Drosophila melanogaster: one gene and its partners. The protein of the gene in region 2 interacts with the protein of the main gene of each other region in a pairwise test. Each region holds a gene or a part of one and is shown on either strand. Other genes may lie near its edges.

The links. Proteins that work in one complex are often made in the same cells at the same time.
Region 1: the proteins of CG9331 (region 2) and alt interact in a two-hybrid assay, tested with the Drosophila melanogaster proteins (one large-scale study listed by BioGRID).
Region 3: the proteins of CG9331 (region 2) and CG10395 interact in a two-hybrid assay, tested with the Drosophila melanogaster proteins (one large-scale study listed by BioGRID).

What each region holds. Positions count from the first base shown.
Region 1 is NT_033777.3:17,679,495-17,684,274, forward strand, and holds the start of alt (aluminum tubes), read right to left. Parts: upstream 3,022-4,780; 5' UTR 2,963-3,021; exon of another isoform or gene 2,908-2,962; intron 2,750-2,907; exon of another isoform or gene 2,601-2,749; intron 383-2,600; exon of another isoform or gene 153-382; intron 1-152. Other genes in the region: CG7655 (uncharacterized protein), read left to right, coding at 3,295-3,621, 3,681-4,115; CG31251 (uncharacterized protein), read right to left, coding at 4,315-4,601, 4,661-4,780.
Region 2 is NT_033779.5:20,821,752-20,828,232, reverse strand, and holds CG9331 (uncharacterized protein), read right to left. Parts: upstream 4,592-6,481; 5' UTR 4,118-4,591; intron 3,800-4,117; exon of another isoform or gene 3,509-3,799; intron 2,962-3,508; 5' UTR 2,813-2,961; coding exon 2,721-2,812; exon of another isoform or gene 2,658-2,720; coding exon of another isoform or gene 2,566-2,657; coding exon 2,146-2,565; intron 1,601-2,145; coding exon 1,263-1,600; intron 1,202-1,262; coding exon 1,076-1,201; intron 737-1,075; coding exon 618-736; 3' UTR 509-617; downstream 1-508.
Region 3 is NT_033778.4:5,348,835-5,352,493, reverse strand, and holds CG10395 (uncharacterized protein), read right to left. Parts: upstream 2,018-3,659; 5' UTR 1,686-2,017; coding exon 1,673-1,685; intron 1,615-1,672; coding exon 782-1,614; 3' UTR 774-781; downstream 1-773. Other genes in the region: IFT20 (intraflagellar transport 20), read left to right, coding at 378-773.

The DNA of each region.
Region 1 (4,780 bases), on a different chromosome or scaffold from region 2:
TTGCAATAAGTCTTGAGTTTAAAATATGCGATAACATTACTTGTATCATCAAAATAAAATACGTTTATATATTTACTCCGCCCAGTTATCTTTGAAACTTTAAAATAATATATATTTGTAGTTTGTACATTTTTGAAATAAAAAATACTAACATTACTAACAGAACGTTTTATTCTCAGTGTGCTTGCGCTCCGTGGCACTTTTCTCTCTTCGCTCCCACCACAGTTAGAACAAAACTTGAAATTTCGCTGACTCCGCGAGCTCAGTGGAAGAATTCACAAATTGCAAAAATTTCAATTCAAGGTTGTTGCTCTCTGCGGCTGCGATAACTGGCAGGTCGGGTATTTATTTTCCTCTGTTGGCTTGTCAAGTTCTGGCTTCTTATTTCTGCTGCTTTGCTGGCTCGCGTCATGTTTCTGGCTAAAAGATACTGACTGTGTTTCTGTTTCTTCTTATCCACAATCAACAAACATTTCTAAGGGGCTTTCAAAAATACTGGGTTACGTGATACTGGGTAGATGAATAATCCGTATACAGCAAATCTTTCCAGGTTTACTCTATCTACATATAACTAACTCTTGATTTCATTTATTAACAAATGTAACCATTTTTAGTGTTTCCAACTGTTGTATTGCGACCATTGTGACAATTTAGATGGTTCATAGCATCTTCACTACAATTTATGAAAGTTTTTACAACTCCAATTGTCTATTATCTAGTCCTATGAAACCGACATTCATTATTACGGATGGGTGGACTGACCACAAAGTTAAATTAATATTTAATGGCACAATGGAAACGGGTTTCCGTCAAACAAATCGATGGCGTTTAACGGAAAGTAAGTAAAGTCCGGGCTGCGGATTCCGATTCCGTGAGTATAGAGGCGGGGGAGGAAGAAGCAGCAGAAGCGGTGGCGGCAGAAGAGAGCCAAAGCCAAAAGAGAATAAAAAGCACAATAAAAACGCCGGTAAAGGTCATCAACCGGAAGAAAAGCGCCCATGTGTGCGTGAGTGTGACTGGCCAGTGTTTTTGTGTGAGTTTTTGTATAAACGAGTGTGTGAAAGTCGAAATCTTGCTGCCAATTATCATTATGACCATCTATAAATAATTATGTATTATGGTCGAACAGCATGCAAAACACGCTGGCTGCTCGGCCTCGTTACAGCCAACTGACAAACTGGCAAACTGACATCGAACTGCACAGTTGGCCTAATTTTCCCGTTTTTCTTTCTATCTTTCTGTGCCGTTGCTTCCCTCCCTCCCCCTTTCTTTTGCGGCGCCCCAGTGTTCAATTAGCTGCCTGCTCACACACACACTCGCACTTGCTGGCACATGGAATTTCTCCCCTGTTGGTGAGCCCCGGCCAGAAATGCCAAGTTGACCATTTTCTGGCCTTTGAAGGCAGCGTGTTTGAAGTGGGTCAAGTATTCGCCAATGCGATTACATCTCTTCAAATGGAAATAAAAAAGTTATTGATCCTCGTAACTGTGTATAATTATTAAAGTCCTTATGCGAATTATAAATGTCTAGATTTGTTTCTAAAAAAAAATTGTTTTTCATAATCAACTTACATATCCTAATAACTTCTTAAAACTGAAAACTTCCAATCTATCTAAAATTTAACCGGGTTCTCCATTTTATATTATTTTTGTTCTTTCATAAAAAAATAATTTGAAATTATACTTTTACTAGCTTGCTTTCGCAGCAGCATCACTGATAACGGTGCAAGTGCTTTCCTCGCTCTCTCTGTCACCGCTGAGCGAGAGCGTACTCGCACTCATTCATTATTTTTCATCTATTTATTCATAAATGCATTTTTTGCCCCTGCTATTTTCAGCGGCTCAAGAGTTTTAATTTTAGAAAGCACTGCTCCCTACTTTTCGTCTTTTTCTCCCGTAATATTTATGCAACATGCAATGCTGCTTTATTTATCTCTGTGGGAAAGAAAGCGTGGCATGTTTTTTGCGGTGTGTGGTGTCTTCTTGTTATTCCTGCGTGGGAGCGTCAGGTTCCAAGTTCGTTTCCCTAATTTTTTCTTTTGGTCCACAGATGGAAGGTTGGTCTAAAATGTGGAGTGACTCATAAAGGCTATAAATAGGCAAATTGATATTGTCTAAAGCTGGCGGTTAATGATTATTGATTGCTGACGTAGACGTCGATAGCATTTGTTGATTGTCAATTGGTTTTCCCCGATGACGAACGATTTTTGAGTCTATGATTTATTGGACTGCAGCTGCTCTGCTCCGCTCTCTCTTTTGAGCTCTGCTCCGCTCTCGCTCCTTTGATAAGCCCGCATATGCTTATGTGTGTGTGTGTGGTGAGGTCAGCGCATCAATTATGCTCATTTCTTGTCTTTTTCTTTGATAAAATCAGCGAACAACAAATGGGAAAGGGCGGGGGCAGGGCCCCGGCCAGACGGCGGCGCCCGAGATTTTTGGCAAATCAAAGCAGTCAGCTGTCCCCTTTGCTCATAATTAAGCAATGGGGAGCAGTGAAAGTGTGTCGACTACTAATTGGCACCTTGAATAATTGCACACCGATAAATAAAGTAGTGGCTTCCTTTTTCCTCTCAAGACAAAAGGGCGTCGCACTGCACTTACACACATACATGTACACCGCTCTCCCCTTCTTATCTCCAGTCTCTATACTTCTAACGCTGATTTTCAGCCGATTTTAAGCCACTTGCAACGTCAACAATTTTCACAACATTTCACATTTACAATGCAGTCTTTCTTTTCCTTCTTCTTTTCTTTTTGTTGGAAACGCATCCGCCATTTGCAAGCCACTTGTGTATGTGTGCCGGAGCGCTGCGCCTGTTTGAGTGTGTGTGTGTGTTGGGTTGTCGCGTCGACAGTTTTTTCATCACTTTGCTTGGATTTAGATACGCTTTATCAAACCAGTTCTTACTTGCAACTGTTAAACTTTTTCTCAACTTTCTTATGCCTTTCGGCTGCGGACTTACACTTTTTCGTTAGTGGGAAAATTGAAACATTTGCAAACAGAGTGACCGTGGCGACATACTCCAAAAATCGCGCCAGTCACATAATAGTCCTAAATTTGGACAACTAGCGATGACTCAAGCCGCCGGATAAATGCGCTATGTTTTTGTAGCCGAGACACGCTACGTGGGGAGAGCGATGTTTTTATCGTGGACACAAACCAAATTGAAATTCTTCACCGAAGATTTTATCGCGACTGTGCCATGGTCGCACTGATTAGCTCACCGAAACGTTCATTGAATTTGTTTTGATTATCTCGAAATAACAAGCTATTTTCTCAATTTTCCTGACAAAAATGACATCGATTGCCAAGTCCATAGTACTATTGGCATCCCTGGCCACGTTCGCTTACTCCCTGTACGTGGTTGGCAGCCTGATGATGTTCCTTTCGACGCCTCGTTCGATTTCCAAGGCGCACACCTGGATTTTCAATTTACTGGACAACAAGTCGCGCCTGCAGACCGCCTATGGACCCGTGGTGTTCGATACCCTCTACCTGATCGGATTCATCTTCCAGCACAGCTTCCTCAAGTCAGCCGTGGTCAAGAAGCTGTTGGCCAAGTTGGGATTGTCGGGTGCGGAGCGCACTATTTATAGCCTGACGTCATCGCTTTGTTTACATGTTTGTATACCCACAAATTGGACAGAAATAGCTCCCAACTGCAACTTTGGACATTTCAGTATTTGATCGTCAACTGGCTGCCCGCTCAGTCGATTGTTCTGTGGCAAATCGATGTGGAGCAGAGTGCTCCGCTTTGGTGGACCTTCGTGATCACCCATGGCATCTGCTGGGTTGTCATCTTTGGCGGCAGTTTGGTGATGGATCTGCCAGAGCTGCTGGGCGTCAAGCAAGCCTACTACGATCTGAAGGCCTACGGACCGCCCATCAGCTACAAATCCGGGGAATTGCGCAATCTGTACGCCCATGTCAGACATCCCTCGTTTGTGGGCCTGTCGGTCATCCTGTTCGCCACGAATGTGATGAGCGTGGATCGGCTAGTCATGGCCTTGCTGCTGACCACCTACATGTACCTGGCCTGGTCCACAGATCAGAAGGATGTGGCCTATCAGAAGATTCAACTGCAGCGCAAGAAACTCGAACTGAAGGCCAAGTAAACTTAATCTCAAAAGTGTTCTTACTAAGATCTAGTTGTAAGTTGACATGAGTTTGTATTGAATAATACTTTTCTAACAATTTCAGTTTCCGAATCAGAACGAAACAAATAATGAAAAAACTAAAAGATATATAAAAATATATATGGTTCAGTTTTTACTATTTTACTACTATTGCTAGCTTAATTAATTATTTTAAAATTTAACTCATTCTTACGATAGAAGGATCAAAGGGCTGTCCTTTAAACGGCGAACCTTCGGCATCCCAGGCAGCTTTCAGGCGATCCAGGTTTATAGCTTGGTCGGGACTTGAGGTCTGAATTTCATTTTGTTGCTTGTCTGCTGCCAACTGCTGGACCCTAAGCTTTTCTATGGTGGCCTGGGTTTCCTCCGGCAAATCATCTATATAGCGTTCGCATTCAATCTTCTTGGAATCGATTTCTGGATCACCTTCGAAGAGCCGATCCCACCAGAGCTCCTTTGCTTTATCTACAGTTATATACAGTTTATGAAAATGGTTTATAAAGATGTTTTAGGTGAATGCCCACCGTAACTTATGATCAATCGGTTCTGATCAATTGTCCACACCGCCTCCTTGTGTTTAATCCGCTGGCTCAGGTTTCCCTCGAGGATGATCGTCTCTGGGCTATGCTTGCTGCTCACTTTGA
Region 2 (6,481 bases):
GCCCAGGGGCCTTCAATTATTATATTCGATCAGCAAAGCCATAATCAGTGGGAGCAGGTTGAAAAACTACAACCGAAGTCGGGTTTCGCGAGCGAACTCTCAAGCGGCATAAGCACCCAGTTTTAAGAAGCGATGATCCTATTCCGATCCTGATCCGACAAGCTCCCGCAGCCGTTCCTGGGACTTTTGGATGCGAAATCAGCAGTTTGAAGGTCCTCGATACATTTTGGGGAAAAGTGGTAGGTTTTGCAATTGTGCAGAGCTAAACTTTGCGAATTACTAAATCAATGTTTTCTGCTCTCATTTCTTAAAACGTACAATATTATTTCCTACGATATACTATATTAGTATTTAAATTATGTTTCTCATTCTCTAGCACCAATTATTCTATTGCTTTACCTATTCCATATTAATCAGTTGAGCTAATCTTACGGTATAGATTAGATTCCCACATATTTAATTTAATAAATTTGCAACAGCAAATACTTGTTTTTTAATTGTTTTTTTTATTTTCACATCTACTGGCATGCCAAGGTCATCGGCGGCCTTTCGCACTTTGTTTGGCGGACATTCCAAACTGGTTAGCGGTAGAAAGCCATATTTCCCATTTGAATTTACTAGTAGGCGGGCGACAACATGGGCTCCCCAGCCAAACCGCGGAGCACATTATGGGCAGCAATGGTGGACATGTCGGCACGGGTGCGCTTCGTGGCGGATCCAATATGGGGCAGGACAACTAAAAGAACACATCAAGTGGTTAGTTCAAGATACGATTACACAAACCAAGATAACAATGTTTTAATAAATCAACAAAAGAAGGGAATTATAGAGGTCAACAAGGACGCAGAAATTAGATAAAACATGGAAAGAATAAACGTTACCCTATTTATTTGTAACCTTCAAGAAACCTTAAAGATTCCATTAATTTCAAAATACTTTTAGTCATTGTCAACCACTGAAGAGATAAGTCAAAATCTTTATATTGATAAGGGGCCAGAAATACGAGTATTTGCTAGGTGTGGGCCTGAGGACTGATATCAATAAACTACAACATTATTTTCATTTTCCCACTCACCAACATTGTCAAGCGTCAGCAGCTTGTCCTTGGGCGACAATGGTTCCGGATCCGTGACGTCGAGTCCGGCGGAAAAGATTCGGTTGGCTTTCAAAGCCTCGTAGAGGTCATCCTGGTTGACGATTTCTGAGGAATAAAATAAATAGTTAAAATCGGTCGAGAATCCCAATTAATACTGGTAACTTACTGCCCCTGGCAATGTTAACCAGCACAGCAGTCTGCTTCATCTTGTTGAAGGCGGTGGCATTAAAGACGCCCTGTGTGTCCTTCGTCAAAGGAGAAGCGATCACTACGAAGTCACTCTCGGCCAGAAGGGTATCGAAGTCAACTTTCTTGGCATTGAACTCCTCCTCGATCTCCTTGTGAACACGACGACGGGTGGTGTACAGCACCTTGTCAATGTCGAATCCAGACAAACGCTTGGCAATAGCCTGACCAATGCCTCCAAAGCCGTAGAATCCCACGGTGGAATCACGAATATCCTGGCCCAACAGCCAGTTAAGATGGTAGTTTTCCCACTTGTCACTTTTAGAACGCAAAAGATACAAATTAAGAAATTGAAAGATATATGAATATTTCCAAAATATATAATATACTTGTAGATACTCGAGATACTGATAAATGCCTGTTACTAAGCTAAGATGAAGATAAAAAAAACTTTTTTTTATTGCACCGCCACCTAGCGGCGGTTACATAAACTGCTCGTACCTTTTGTTTGTAGATAAATCGAAAGTCAATACTTTAGAATTTTACATTATGCATGTGAGGAGCCAAAACCTATTGATGATAATGCTTTGTCCACTTGTGAGCGCTATAGAGCAAAAGTGCAAGCGACAGACGAGCGGACAGGCGGTATTCTTAAGAACCGGCTTGCAATTTTAATCGAGAATTCATGCGTATACATTTCACGGCCACACTAAGTTGAAAATAAAGTGTCCCTAGTTTAGCTTAATTATAATAATAATTATGACAATTATAATTTCGGTTTACTCTATTTTTGTCATTGCTCAAATTAATTCTGTAAGTATATGAATCATCACAAACACAACTAACCAACTAGTGGTACTCACTTGTCGATGGTCTTGCGACCCTCGTGAAAACGGCGACTGGCGGCGATCAGGAGACCCACTGCCAAATCGGCCACGGCGGTGTTGAGAACGGTGGGCGTGTGTCCCAGCGGGATCTTACGTCTCTTTACCTCCGGCACATCGACGTAGTCGATTCCCGCCGACATGGTGGAGATGGATTTCAGCTGGGGACCGGCAGCATCGAGGGCCTCGGCATTGAGGGGTTCGTGTCCACCCCAGAGAACGCCATCCACGCCACGGATTTTCTCCAGCAGCTCCGCCCGGTTGATGGGAACACTCTGCACCTGGACGATCTCGCAGTTCTCCTTCAGCAGATCAATGCCCTCCTGGGGAACCTCGGGATGTGTCACCAGGACCTTGAAAGCCTTGCCAGCGGACATGGTGCGATTCTGGCTTTGATTTCTGCTGCCCCTGCGTGGGAGGGAGGCATTACTACCGGCGATCAGCAAGGCCACAATCAGTGGCAGCAGGGAGTTGGTGGCAATCGATCTCATCTCGAAGTATTGCGATCGAAGTCGTGTTTCGCGAGCGACTGAACTCTCAAGCGGCATACGCACCCAGCTTTAAGGAGCGGCGAGAACGGAAAGCCGCTGATCCGACTGCTCCGACCCACGATCGCAGCCGATAAACCAATGAACCTGTTTAGCATTATAATCCGCGCTCTAAATCTCTCCCTATATATGTATGTACGTATGTATGTATGTCTGTAGGCGTTCAAGCCGCCGAGCAGCTGATGTGAGTCTCAGTCTCTCCTACGGCGTATGTATAAGACGCACAACTGGTTTGCTGGTTCGAGAACTAAGGTATAATATTGGAGTTTTATCGAAGTGGATTCAATAATCAGGAACGGTGCAAGATTATTTCTGGGTTAATAACAATAACATTTGGCAAAAATAAACATTCTAAAATTAAGTTTAATTTTACTTAACATGTGGAGCGTAATGAAAAAATTACGAAACATAGATGAATTTATCAAAGACTAAGAGCCAATTATTTTGGCTAAAAAACAGAGACAATTATTTCAGTGGAAATACGATTATATACTGCGGTCAATAATTTCGAGTAGCTAAAATACATCTATCTCCCATGTTTTTTAAAGTACTTAAATTTCGCGGTTATACGGTCGCTATCTCCGCACAGACGCACGAGATTTTTATGGCGAAATTCCGCGAGCAAAAACTTTCAGATATGTTCGCATCTAATCATTTTTCCACGACTCATTCCACTCAACACTTTTGACAATTTGATGGTTTTTTAGCATTGTTTGTTTGTTTGTGGGAGGGAATGGAAAAACCCACAGTAATATTTTGATATTAATTACACTCAATGTCACCAAAGAACAAACCGTCACTCTTAAAAACTCTCTTAACCAAACTGTTTACGACACCAAATGTCACAAGAGAACTACTTTATTATATTATTATTAATTTGTTCTTTACACTATGCTACACTCTGCCTCCAAACGCACCCGACGTGAAAATTTAACTAAAACTTTTTTCCATTGGCTATGCAATAAAAGCTCGCAATCCGATTTCATTTTTATGTTCTCTTATTTAGACTTTATACTTTCTCTTACCGTGAGATCTATAGAACTAGAATACTTTTCAGCTTTGCGTTTGCCGCACGACTGAAGTATTGGCCCCAAAGCTTAAGCCTTATATAGAACTCATATCGTATCGCAAATGAATTATCAATTCCCAAAAAAGAGTTAATACGAGAGTAATTTTCAACATATTAATTCGGTTTACATTTTATGGAATGGTGCACAGATATTTTTGAAGTCAATTGTATAAATTCGTTAAAATAAAATAACATATATGAAATATTTAAAACAATATGCGATCTAACAAACTTTTATTATCGTAAAAATACACCCCTTAAAGGCCGGAAACTCACTAAAATCTCAGTTAAAAATGTAGTTCACTCTTTAACATAATATTGGGGTTATATCAACCAGATTCCAGTACTATCAGCGATCAGCGATTCCCCCTCCGATTAGACCATCATTGGGCATCCCTTTCTGTCGTTGCACACTGCGCTTTGCCGCTACCATCAGTCCGTCCCTTTCCAGCTGCTTATCTCGAAAGGCTCCTTATCGGTGCGAACGAGACAGAGACGGAACTCTTTGGGAGAGTGAGCAGTTGGGAAAGCTGTGCGCCTGCTCGAAATACCAGTTGGGGACTTTTCCCATGTGCTCGCATGCAATTTCCAACTGGAATGGGCACCACCGCAGTTGGAGCCACCGGAGCAGTGGAGCCATTTGGCCATTTAGCCGTGGTGCCATGGAGCCAAAGCACTGCAGTCGGTTGGAACGTGGAACCTACACGACCAGCACTATTTCGCAGTTAAGTACGTTTTTTTGTGAGCGGATCTGCTCAAATTTTGTCCGCAGAACAGCAGGCGCACAGCGTTGGCCAACGCACACTGCGCTTTTTCGTCTGTGTGAAAGCGGCGGCAAGAACCGTTCGCGTTGGCGTTAGCGTCGCTGGCAGTGATGCGCGAATTAACTAGCTAGAACTTCCGACAAAAGGCACAGAAACTTAAAACAAAATACTAAATTACTTTACGTCTACGTGTAAGGAGTAATCAAATATTTTACTGGTTAGAACTGAATATATTCATAGACATGATAATACATATACATATTTATAAGATATTCCAAATGTTAAAAACAATAAAATTATTGATATTGTTACTATACGAAAATTGACTAATCTAAATTTTACTGATTTACGATTTAAGTATAGAACTATTTTAACATAGTTTTAACCATAATACCGCTCTAGTGAAATATCGAAACGGACAGTTTGGCTTTTTGTTTGCCTAGATTGGCTTCACTGAAAGTTGTGCACTTCCTCTTACCTTTGAGATTTGGCCCAGACACTGCACTCTGCCTAATTGAAAGCGAAACGAAAAACCAACAAAATATTAGCGCTTTGTGCGAGGGTGGATTTTTTTGTTGTCGTGACGCGGCGCAGCGTCTGTGCCTGCTTTTTCTTCGTCCCCCACAACGGTTTACACATTTTCTTCGTGCCTTGTTCTTTTGTTTCGCGGCCATTGTGCAGCAGAGTGCCGCACATTGGTGCTCTTCTCGCTTTTATGCTTTCCTGTTACCAAAACACGATGCGTCATTTTGACTGACGTAACCGGAGACAACATTCCAATTGGAGACAGCTGTCTATCAGACGCGACCGTCGTCGTCGTTACGTCTGCTGCCGCCGGCATTGCCAGCGCTAAACTGCGGTTTGGTGAACAAGTAATCAGCAACTGATGACAGCAGACAGACGCCAACGAGAGTGTGTGCGGCGGACAGAGAAGAGAAAATGCGGAGAGATAGAGATAGTGGAGGCGGACAGTGAAAGACGGGGTATAACGGAAAAAATGGAATTTGAGAAGCGCATCTCTCGATCTCTCCACTGAACATATGAAAATACAATGTACATATGTACATATGTATGTAAATAATATTTATAAGTTGGGATATTAGAAAGCCTAACACTAGGTCTTCGTTTTAGGCTAATAAATTACTACAGTTTCGATATAATCGGAAACTGAAAATGAAAACGTTTACTTAGTTCAGTTCCCAACTAAGAACAAAGTGGGCATACTTTTAGGCACTTCTAAGCACTATTCCTGATAATGCTTAATGCAATAAAAGTTAATGTGTCACCAAAAATACACATTGTAGTACTTGTTCACATTTCTTAAAAAGTAATTTACAAACATTTTAACTTAGAACTTAGAACCTTGCTAATTGCATTCACAAGGTAAGATTGGGATTGCCTTCGCACAGCACTCAGCGGGTTAAAGTCAACTGTCAAGGGCAAGTTGCAGACACCTAAGCAGCATCCACAAACATATCCGTACTGCTTGCGCCGCATTCTGCTTGCTTCATATTTGGCGACACCAGCAGCGGGAATCGCAAATGGCGGCCGAGCGACAAAGCTGCAAAGCGAGGCGTCGCGCACTCCGCGCAGGCGCTTTTGGAGCGCCCAACTCCACTCAACGGCCTGTCGAGAAGGCCAAGATGAAAAAAAAGTGGGACGTGCCGGGCCACAAAAAAAGTGGCCAACCGTCACCGATTTTTATGGTGTAGGCTCCCTAAAATTGACGCGCAACATTGAGGCAGGTCCCTCTACGCGATATAACGGAACAGGCGCCCAGAGTCGCCAGCAGCGAGATAACCCGACGGAAGACAAAAAGCGAGAGCGAGCTGTGTCTGTGTGTCTGCGCGTGTGGTGGTGGGCCCCAAGTCGATGGCGGTGCCTACACACGGCACAGCTCTATGAATATAACGAGCACGAGAGCGGGAGCGGGA
Region 3 (3,659 bases), on a different chromosome or scaffold from region 2:
AATATAATTTTATAGTTCCTGAATCTTGACGTTCATACGGACAGACGGACATGGCCAGATCGACTCGGCTATTGATCCTGATCAAGAATATAAATACTTTATATGGTCAGAAACGCTCCCCCCCACTGCCTGTTACTTTTTAACGAATCTAGTATGCCCTTATACTCTACGAGTAACGGGTTATTAAAAAAGGGTTATTATTTGCATTTCAAATAATTCAAATACTGAAAGCTAATATAATTTCCAAAAGAAAAATACTAAAGCCTCAATGCATTTATATACAAACGCGTAGCTCTTATTTGTTTACGACTCGTTCAGTTGTCAATAGCAACGCAACGCATAGTAAGAAAGTATTACTTTGTTACAATCGCAATAAGATGGAAGAACTTCAAAAAGTTGGTGTGTTTATAGATGAAATTTACACGGTGCGAGTTGAGCATCCAAACCTTTCCAGTAGCAAAATAATGTTTAAACAAGAATGCTTCAACTACATTAAAGCATTCACTATTTTTAAAAAGTTTGTGTTTAATTATTGTAATATTTCTGAAACGTTTGCCAAAGATGTCGATAAGGAAAAACTACGCGCTATTGGTACTCAAAATCAATTAAAAACGGCATTTATTCAGCGCCAGAACAAGCAGCAAGTCTATCAATATGAGATATTTGAGCAAACAGTAGAACTTGAACGCTTAAAAGGCGAATTGCAGTTTTTACAGCGAATTGAAACGGAGCAACATGAAATAATAAACAATTTTTTTGTCAATCAATATTAAAATTAAATCTACGTATTTGTAGACGTTTTTCTTATTTTGTTGATATTCTTACGATAACATGTAAGACTACATAATGGAACATTTGTTGTTGAACAATTATATGTCTTGCGATTTTCACAACCGCTTACAAAGCACACCTGTGAAGGAGGAGGTGTACGAGGGAGTTGAACTTTTAAAGGATATTCGTAACCTGGGGGAACTATTACATAGTTGCCAGTTACAGCACTTATATAGGTTATTTTTGGATAAGAGGGCTGTTGTAAAGACTTATTGCGAATTGAAATCCGATCCCTGTTGGTTGCCTGTTTTTTTAACAACCGCTCCATTGTCTTTAATTTATCTTTTTCTCTGCGTTCGTCAGCTTGTTGTTTTCGTTTTTGAGATTTCAGAAGAGCTTTATGAATTTCCTCCGCAGTCTGCGGCTTTTCCTTTTCTTTATAACCACTTGGAAGAGCAATTAGCTCTTCTATAAATCCATTTATTTCGGAGTCCTGTGTCCGTTCATAAATAGCACGTTGACGTGCTGTCATAAGTTTGGGGTCCTTTATCTTTTTAAGTTCCTCATCAACAACGTCTAGTTTCCCGGTTTCTATGGCGGTAAGCCACCGATCCTCTTCACTGGACGTATCACTGTTGCGTCGTCTTTTACCTTTTTTAGCACCCGTGTGAGGCAAACTGTCATCATGTGCCAATTTTTTTGTGCTAATATTTCTCGTGCGTCTAAGAGGATGTTCATGAATATTTGAATTAGATGCAAGCGCATCTGTAGTGTAATGAAGTTCTTTAGGTCTCAACGAATTTGAAATAGACTCAGCAGATAAGTACTCTGCATCCTTAGAACCTATGAATAAAAAATGTTACTTTTTAAGATGTAACGTTTGGTGATTGATATAAATTACCTTCTTTCACCATTTCAATTGAAATACACTCGTCCTGTAGCAGCGGCCAATATTTTTGTTTGTTATGCTTAATTTTTTCAAATGTCCAAAAATTGCATTGGTCATACATCCACTACGATGCTTATAGCCTAATTCCACAAATGACATCCTTATTAAACGGCTGGGAAAATCGTGCAATCTCTCTGGCCACATAGTATAATGATTTTAAACTTATAATGATTATAATTATAATAATAATAATTATAATAATAATACTAAAAAAAATTTGAATTGTGCACAATATATTTTTGTATTCCCCTTCCTAAATGCATTTAAGCAATTCACAGAATACATAGCAAAACCATGGTTAGCGGTTGTGTTGAACCGATAACCGATGAAACTGAATAGTAACTAAATATCGTTCCTGATGTCGAGACTCCAATCTATGTGCACTTATGCACGCGAATTCAAATTCTGCATGAAAAGCGCATAAGTTGATAAATGAATAATGGATAAAGTTTAATAAAATTACAAATTATTTGAATTTTTGGTCGGGTAATGTTTAATGTTTTTTATGTTAGTGTCATTACAATCGATATGTTCGATTATTTTACTAAACTTTATATATATATATACTATACTATACTATATATATACTGTTTGTCAAGAAACTGTTTACACACCGTGAAATAAGTTGAATTTTTAACTTTAAAGGTCAAAATTAAGGGTTATTTGTTTAATTAAACGCAATTTTTTTATGAAATATAATTAAACAATATTTATTTTACTTATAAATTAAAAAACAAATTCAAAATATCAAATATACAAGAAAATAAACAACAAATTTCAAGTTTACACACTTTTGAGAGTGTAAAGAAACTATTTACACAAAACACTAAACCTAAGTTTAATCATAAATTTTTTAATTATTTTGTTAATATTTGAAAATTTTTAGTATTTAGTATGACCCCCATTGGCTTTGGCTACAAGTTGAAGCCTTTTTTTCATGGAATGGATGAGTTTTTTTAGGTCATATTCAAGCGGGATCTTTTCCCACTCTTCGACTATCGCAGCAATGAGATGTTGCCGTGTTTTGGGGCACCTTTTTGCCACCTTCTTCTTTAAGTAGGTCCACAAATTTTCAATGGGGTTCAGATCAGGACTCTGAGGGGGCGTATCGATCACCTTGCCACAGTTATAAAGTAGCCAGTTGCGTACATTGTACTCTTTATGTTTGGGATCATTGTCGTGATAAAACTTAAAATTTGGCTTGTTGTTGCTAAATAGACCACATTTTTCTGCACTGGCCTTCAAATTTGTTTCTAAAATATCTAGATATTGCACGGCATTCATAGTGCTTTCAATAAAGGCTAATTTGCCCACTCCATGGCTGGAAATACAGCCCCAAATAATCACTGACAATTTTCCAAATTTGATTGTTGGTATGATATTTTGTTTTTCTAGCGCACTCAACGGTTTGCGCCATACTCTGCTTGGCCCGTCGTTATAAAAGAGCATCATATTTGTTTCGTCACAAAATATGACGTCATCCCAGTACTCTTCCGCATGATCTATCATGCTGAATGACGCTTTTCAATATTGACCTCTGATAGCAAAGGCATTTTTCTTGCAACTCTTGAAGAGTACCTATGGTAGTAGGATAACGTGGTGCACAGTTTCGTGTGACACAGTTAGGTGATATTCTTCCCTGATATCCTGAGCAAGTGATCTGACCGAGATTCGGGGGTTCGCAATCACTTTTAAGGCAGTCTACTCGCTTGTTAATTTTGGTTTTCCGCCCATTACCACTCTTAGGTTCAAGCCTGCCCTCTTTTTCCGCACGATTTAAAATATTATAGACGGTCTTAGGTTGCCGTCTCTTGTTCGTTTGCATCCCTCGACTTCTCCTCCACAGGCAAAGTCCACCGATTTCTTTATGATGAATGGTGAAATTCTTTCGAAAGAGTTGTTGTCTTTCCTTTTGATAATTATAAATTTAGGTTCACCT